Cricetulus griseus: one gene and its partner. The protein of the gene in region 1 binds, or shares a complex with, the protein of each later gene. Links are inferred from orthologs where the notes say so. Each region holds a gene or a part of one and is shown in the gene's direction. Other genes may lie near its edges.

Evidence for each region.
Region 2: Hbs1l (region 1) and Pelo share a complex: the UniProt entries of both Homo sapiens proteins name them as parts of the pelota-HBS1L complex. The link is inferred for Cricetulus griseus from reciprocal best matches to the Homo sapiens genes HBS1L and PELO.

The regions. Positions count from the first base shown.
Region 1 is NC_048595.1:268,535,163-268,539,431, reverse strand, and holds the start of Hbs1l (HBS1-like protein), read left to right. Parts: upstream 1-1,322; 5' UTR 1,323-1,459; coding exon 1,460-1,502; intron 1,503-4,091; coding exon 4,092-4,157; intron 4,158-4,269. UniProt on the Homo sapiens protein: GTPase component of the Pelota-HBS1L complex, a complex that recognizes stalled ribosomes and triggers the No-Go Decay (NGD) pathway.
Region 2 is NC_048595.1:332,905,004-332,909,018, reverse strand, and holds Pelo (protein pelota homolog), read left to right. Parts: upstream 1-1,525; 5' UTR 1,526-1,767; coding exon 1,768-2,493; intron 2,494-2,768; coding exon 2,769-3,200; 3' UTR 3,201-3,364; downstream 3,365-4,015. UniProt on the Homo sapiens protein: Component of the Pelota-HBS1L complex, a complex that recognizes stalled ribosomes and triggers the No-Go Decay (NGD) pathway.

The DNA.
Region 1 (4,269 bases):
ATAGAAGCTGTCATTTGTATTTAAGTTTTATATGTAAGGATCTCAAATAGTGTTGGTTGGCCTGGAACTGCCTGTGTAGCCAAGAATAACCTTGAACTCCCGATCCTCTGCTTCCACCTACCAAGTACTGAGATTAAAGGAATTGAACCACCATATCCAGCACATTTAATATTTTTCAGCACCTTAATGTTCTGTGTTAAGTTTCCTTACATGGGCAAATATAGTTTAACAACTTTACAAATTAGATAATATATGAGTAAGATAATATCTTCACTTACAAAGAGATAGGCTGCAATGTAGAAATTATTTAAAGGTGTAAAATAAAACACTTAAAAACCGTATAAAATTAGCATCTACATTTTTTTGCATAAAATTTTGCCTTGGAGCCATTAAACAATGATAGTTAAGAATAACCATTAAGTAGTCAGAATTCAAACCTGAGCCATTTACGAATATGAATTTGTGTTTTCTCATTATCTGGATAAGAAAAGCTGAGTAAGGTAGAATTTGACATTTGCCTTTGATACAAGGTCTTGGCATTCAAAAACAAGCTACAACAAAGAGGTTGTTCGGTATGATAATGAGGTTGATGCTTTTACACAGCATTATTAGCCCTATGTTTTACAAAACGAGGATGTTTAATAACAGGTTATAGATTTATGTATTATGTAATACATCATGAGTACCCAAGGCTAATGCTGTGTCTGAAAAGCTTGTACTAAACGCTCTTAGCAAGTTCACATGTTTATGTATTCAATCAATGCCCAAGGCATAATCTCTTAATTATTCCGTGTTAATGAAAATAGTTTACATAGCTAAGGCCAGACAGTTGTTTACCAGAGCTGTTAAGGGAGGATGGAGCCCATATCTGAAGCCATGAATTACCCACAAAGCATAGTGACCCAGTGTAGCTGTATTTTAATTACTTGTTTAGAAACTTTTTCTCCCTCTAAAGCTTGGACTAATTATTATGCCACATTTACACACTATTGTGGACGGATATCGTTTGTATCTACAGTCTAAAAGCTGAAACAGAATCCTTGGTCCTTGCTCTTATTGAGCCAAATTGGCAGCTTCCCAAAGGATCAAAAGCCAAATATGGAAAATAATCCTGAACGCCGGTGGTCAAAGATGCCTGCATGTCACGTTCACTGTCAAGCAACAGCGTGGAGGTAGCTGAAAGAATTTCCGGCACTGAAATCCACGTCAGTCAACTGGCTTCTGGGCGCCGCCCGCCGGCTCGCGAGTGCGCGTGCGTCCTCGGGAGGCCGGCTGTGACCCTGAGAGCTTGCCGTCGCGTAGTGCGCAGGTATGACGTCGCGTCTGCGCAGACGCTTGGCGCAGCGGCCTGGCGGAAGCCAAGATGGCGCGGAAGAGGTCTCTAGCTCGCGGTTGGCGCTTTATCCGTGTCTAAGCCGAGTTCTTTGAGAGGACCGTGGCTGACGCCCTGTGTGCCGCGATGGCTCGGCATCGGAACGTCCGAGGCTATAACTACGATGAAGGTGAGTGGCAGGGCCGCGCCGGGCCGTCATCTTAGCTGTAACAGCTGGGTTCCTGGCCTCATTATCTCCGCCTGGATTGGAATGACCCCGGAGCCACACTAGAACTGGGGTTTGTGTCGAGGAGGGGAGAAGGTGGGGGAAAGGATTAGGACATCAGTTCCCAGGGAAGAGAGAGAGAGTGATGGCTGCCTTCTGGGTTGACCTTATTTACGGACGGGTGACAGTGTGGCATCTCAAGGGCCTACGATGTTTGGTGGCGACGTTGGGATCCGATGCTCTTTGGTATCTAAACGTTGCCTCTTTTCTTATTGTTTCATTTGGGGACTCACGCGCCAGTTTCTAACTTTTGTCTCATAAGCCCTCCTTCACACGTGCCCACGAGGCATTACTTACTTATAAAACAGGCTGGCTTAGTGCTTGCATTCGACCGACCTGCTAAAACTATTAGATTTATATAATATCTTGCCTGTGTTCGTGCGTTTTGACTGCATAACCTCGCTTGACCTGAATTTTCAGCGAATTTCAAAATTCGGAACCTAAGAAATGGAAAAGATTCACGTTTAAAAGGCTCAAGAAGTTAAGTCGTTTTGCTGATCTTCAAGTGTATACTCAGTATATTGACTGCTATACTTGATGTAAATGTATTTTAAAATGGAAATATAAAGCAACACTAGAGGGGAGAGCGTGTAAATAGACTCACTGATGTTTTTAATGAAAAAAATACATATATTAATGTATGTAAGGAGTTAAAAGTGATTTTAGGAAGACTTGTTATACATGAGTGGATAATAACAGGTATTTATCAAGCATCATAGAAGCTAAAAATAAAAACAAATGTGATTAAAGACCTACTGCTTTCGGGAACATGTAATGTTGAAGTCGGATGTTATTGACACCCCTGGGAGATTGTGAGCATCAGTGTACTTAGGCATGGACAGCTAACACCCAGTGCTGCATTTGAAGACTTGGACCCAGTAGGTCAGGGATGTCTTACTTTGCAGACGTTCACCGTCAGAATATTGTAGTGGATATCTAAAAAATGCCTTCCACTCCACTCCCACTGAGAAATGACTTTAGACTGGGAGAGATTTTGTAGATATGAAATAAAGGACACCCATCCCTTTTGTATTTTATTTCCTCATCCAGTGATAACTGAGTACTTGGAGTACTGCGTAAGATACTCCTTAAGTAAGGACTGTCTAAAGGGAGCAGCTGGTTAAAACAAGAGAGATTCCACACAATGTAATGACAGTGCTGTGGGAGCAATGTAAAAGAAAACGTCTAAATCAGAAAGGGTCAGGATTTCTTCGTGAAGTATTTGACAAGAGTTATATGTCCTCTGAGTCAGTGCTAAATACCTTTTATCTTGGCTACCAGAGGTCAAGTTATATTTCTTTGTAACAATTGGTGACATCATAACCAAGCCTGCCCTGTCCTGTCATGGATGTTTTTTGCCCTTCCTGCTTACGAAAGTGTAAATCATTTTCAGTGTCTAGTCTTCTTCCCAGTTAAGCTTCCCTTTGGGGTTTCAATAATTAAAAATTCATAAAAGTATTTTAATTTCATTAGTCTGAGGTCTAAAATCTATTGGTTCCTCTTTGGTCTTAGCCTTTAAGCATGCTGTACCTGTTTCTTGAATGCCCTAGAAAGATGGCTGACTCTCTCTTTTGGAATTGGTTTGAGTATTCTATTCTTGGGGAAATTCTAGTTTTCACATGTGTGTTCCCAGATTGCTCTGTATTTTTCACGGTGAGCACTTGTCATACAGTTTTGTAGTCACCCTGTTCTGGGCTATTAGACTTTTGGAGTTGACAGAGCTGGAGATGTACACACTTTGTACTGAAAATGTCTCTGTAATAGTCTCTGGTATAAATTTATGTTCCTTGCAGGGTTTTTAATAGTTTGTCTCATTAACTGGTGAACACATTAATTTAGTGCCGCATGTATGCCAGGTACTTGGTTAAACTAAGTTTTTCCTGTAATTTCTCATGCATTGAAACATGAGTTGTGCTTTGAAGACAATAAATTAAGAGGAGGCTGCTGAAGGTAAAGGTTGTAAGGAAGACTATTGGAGCCTTACCTAGAGAAAGAAGCAACCTTGGGAAAATCTCAACCAAGAACATACTCCATTAAGACTGACTTACTCCACTTACAAGCTCCATTTTAAGACTTAACAGTCACGAAAGTCAGGCTTTCTGGTTCTCCATGAAGAGTGACTTTATGGCTGGATTGTATACCCTATAAAGATATTTGCCTAGAGTGCAATGGGTGGCTTACCTCAGGTTTTGTGAAGTTAGACAATTCACATATATCATCTACAGGATTATTACTGGATTTTGGTCACATGAAAGATGTGAGAAAATTAAATAAAGCCCAATTAGCTTAAAAACAGAAGGCCTATGTATGTTTTAAAAGTATACATTGTCAGTAATTTAGATTGTTATTAGTAAATATCTTGGAATTTATGGAAAAGTAGACATTTAGGTTTCTTGAAAGTTGGTATTTTCTTATTTTGTAAATTATTCAGGTGTTTGCTCATGAATAAAGAAGACATGATTGAACTTGTAATGAATCTATTTTGTGTTTTAGATTTTGAAGATGATGATTTGTATGGCCAGTCTGTGGAGGACGATTATTGTATTTCACCATCAACAGGTAAGTTATTAAAAAAAAAAAAAAAGATTTCTTTGATTTGACTGTTTAAAAAAGGTTAAGTAAATATGAATGTCATCTTGGACTAAAGTCATTAAGACTATAATGGGTAATT
Region 2 (4,015 bases), about 64 Mb from region 1:
TTTATGTGCATTGGTATGAAGGTGTCAGATCCCCTGGAAATGGAGTTACAGACAGTTGTGAGCTGCCATGTGTGTGCCGGGAATTGAACCCTGGTTCTCTGGAAGAGCAGCCAGGCCTCTTAACCGAAGTAAAATCTTTCTCAAAAATAACAATGATTACCTAGACTTGGTAGAAACAGGCTGGTTCCCAGAGTGTGGAGAGTGAACTGGTAAAGGCGTCAGCTAAAGGAGATGGCAGGGGATAACAGCTCGTAACTTGCATTTGCACAGATGATTAGAAGACAGATGAGTGGTTTCTGGAACAGTGTGTAGTTCATCAGTCCTGAATCTGAATGCCACTTACATGCTCTTGAACACATTCATCAGCTTTCTCAGAATTTCATTTTACTTTTCTACAAATTAGGGTAGCATTTTCTTTATAAGAAAAGAAAGAGTGGGAAAGTGTTTTTGAAATTTCCAAAAGTTGATTGTACTCCAATGAAGACCTTTCATTCATTAAGAGCCTATGCAGCACCTTCTTGATCCTTAAAATACTTAAAACACAGTGAGAGTATGAGTGAGCTCAAGACTTCTCTGCTTCCCACTGTCTACAGACTCAAGAAAGAGGCATTCCTATATTCCCATCGCCATGGTGAAAAAAAAGGGTGTGTGTGTGTAAGGTTTTTCTTTTTCTTTACAACCAATTCTATGGCTCTTCTTTGGAGGGCGGTCATAGTTAGTAGATCAGTTTATCTTAATTTACCATAGCCTCAGCTTTTGGCCAGTTATTGGCAGGGAGAATCAGCGCTAATCTATTGCAGGCCAGCTCCCACACTGAGCGCCTCAGAGACTACTGAGCCTTGGAGAGCTGACTGCCAATTTTGGATTCTGGGATTCCCAGGACATCAGGTCAAGCCACCCAGAGGTCCACCAGGGGTACATTCCACGCATAGCTTCTGCTCTCTCTGGGTTCTGTCCTTTAACATCTGGGTTAACTGGGTAGTCCAAACAGGGTAACGTCGCAGAAAACAGTTGGGCATGTTGCTGAGCCCAGGCCGAACGTGACTAGTCCTTAGAAACTGCTTCTGGGAATCCCAGTGCCAACAAGCGCGCGTCACGTCTGAGTGCGGGGAAGGAATGAGCAAGACCAGGCAGAGTTTGGACTTCGGGGACTAAGTCTGCACTGCACTTTCGTGGGCTCTTTTCACTTTTACATAAGTTTGGAAGCTGGCTCCACATCAGGGAAGGAAGTGCAAAGTGGCAAACTCAGTTTAGATACTTACGTTAGCACTCACACACTCCGCAGTTCCTCGTACACAGGGAGGCGTGGGAAAACTCAGCCACCCGGAGTTCGGCTTTAATTCTCAAGAGTGGCGGCCAGAGCCGTTTAGCACCTCCCTTGACTTTCAGCTAGGCTGCGTCTTTCCTGTTACTGCGCTTGCGTGCGCGCGTAAGCGATAGGGCCCGCCTCTCCGGTAGGGACGACAGACATGCGCCGGGAGGCGGGCTGCGCATGCGCGATCGCCGCGTCAGCCACTTGCGCGGGGCCGGTGACTGAAAGTGCCGGCTTGTGTGTGCTCAGCGTGGGGTCTGCCGCGCAGCGTGGATCTGCGCGCCGAGGCTCAGAAAAGCGTCGGGGGAAAGCCTGTCCCGGGCTGGCAGGAGTTAGAGGTAGTGTTTCTCTCCTGTCCCCTTCCCAGCCTAGGACCCCACCCCCACCCGCGCCTCTGTGTCTCTTGCGGACCCCCCTCGGCGCCTTCTGTTTTGAAGTGAGCCCCTGGCGAGGTCATGAAGCTTGTGAGGAAGAACATCGAGAAGGACAATGCGGGCCAGGTCACCCTCATCCCCGAGGAGCCCGAGGACATGTGGCACACCTACAATCTGGTGCAGGTGGGCGACAGCCTGCGCGCCTCCACCATCCGCAAGGTCCAGACCGAGTCCTCCACGGGCAGCGTCGGGAGCAACCGCGTCCGCACCACCCTCACTCTTTGCGTGGAGGCCATCGACTTTGACTCTCAAGCCTGCCAGCTGCGAGTTAAGGGGACCAATATCCAAGAGAATGAGTATGTCAAGATGGGAGCTTACCACACCATCGAACTGGAGCCCAACCGCCAGTTCACCCTGGCCAAGAAACAGTGGGACAGTGTGGTTCTGGAGCGCATCGAGCAGGCTTGTGACCCAGCGTGGAGCGCTGATGTGGCAGCTGTGGTCATGCAGGAGGGCCTCGCCCACGTCTGCTTAGTGACACCCAGTATGACCCTCACCCGTGCCAAGGTGGAGGTGAACATACCCAGGAAACGGAAAGGCAACTGCTCCCAGCATGACAAGGCCCTGGAGAGATTCTATGAACAGGTGGTCCAGGCCATCCAGCGCCACATCAACTTTGATGTTGTAAAGTGCGTTCTGGTGGCCAGCCCAGGGTTTGTTCGAGAGCAGTTCTGCGACTACATGTTTCAGCAAGCGGTGAAGACTGACAACAAAGTGCTCCTGGAAAACCGGTCCAAATTCCTTCAGGTAAAAACTCTTACCCAGAGAAATTCAGGAGTGGGCAGAGGGATTGGTGTGAATGGTTCGTAATGTTTTAGAGTAGTAGAAGGCTAAAACTCAATTTAACTGGGATTATAAATGAATCAGTAAAGAGAACGGTGTAGGTCTACCACATTTATAAGGTAACCTTTGCAGAAGTCCTTAAATAGATAAGGCCTTATTCATGCTTTTGTCTTACGCCATTGTGGGCTGATTAACGGATACTTTCAAAGATTCTTTGTCTTTTATAATTGTGATTCTAGGTACACGCCTCCTCTGGACACAAGTACTCCCTGAAAGAGGCCCTTTGTGACCCTACTGTAGCTAGCCGCCTTTCAGACACGAAAGCTGCTGGAGAAGTAAAAGCCTTGGATGACTTCTATAAAATGTTACAGCACGAACCTGACCGAGCCTTCTATGGACTCAAGCAGGTGGAGAGGGCCAACGAAGCCTTGGCGATCGACACATTGCTCATCAGTGATGAGCTCTTCCGGCATCAGGATGTGGCCACCCGGAGCCGGTATGTCAGGCTGGTGGACAGCGTGAAAGATAACGCAGGCACGGTTCGGATATTCTCTAGTCTCCATGTGTCTGGGGAACAGCTTGGCCAGTTGACGGGAGTTGCTGCCATTCTTCGATTCCCAGTGCCGGAACTTTCTGACCAAGAGGATGATTCCAGTTCTGATGAGGATTAAGACTGACATTTAATAGTTACTTCTTCTCAGTGTCCCTTGACAGGTGCAAAAGCTGCACTTGTTGATCATGCTGGGATTTCTGGTGTGTTGGTCACACTAGTGTTTTATAGTTGGCAGGACATGTATTCAAATTAAATAAATCAAAAGAAAAGAATGTCCCAGCATTATGGTTTCTAATTGGAGTTATTTTTTCTAAATACCTGAAAACAGCAATTTGAGTATCTAAGGGGGAAAAGAGTCTGCTGTTTGGGCTTGATCATTAAAGCCCATGTACCTGTTTTAATAGGTTTTCCTTGTAAAAATCTTTAATCTCTCATGAAGTTTATTTTCACTCTGCATGGTGTTTTTGCATTTCATTTAATTATGCATTTTCTCACCTCTTTCTAATTTTTGTTTTTTCAGGATTTGGCTACATTTACTAAAGTGTAATTAAAACCAAGCCTAAAATGTTATTTTCTTTTAGAGATTTGCTAAACTAGTCGATTTTAAAACACTCTTGTTGCTCTTTGTTGCTCTAATCATACTTTCTGTAGACAGTTATTTTCAGGCAGTAGAGGTCTGATCTACTAGGGATTCTCAGCACAGTCTCTGGACTTTAAAAATGAGATGAAAGCCTGTGGTTTGCTTACTGTGTATCGAGGAGTGGCAAATCTGGACATTTCTCCACTCTGGACTTCTGTTCTTTATACTGAAGCACAGCCGCGTTCTTTGGTTCTCTGTGTTACTTAGTATGACTTGGCCAGTGTTATACTTTGCCACAGTGCCTATGGTATTAGTCTGTGCTCTCACATTCTTACTGGGTTATGTTACCTGTG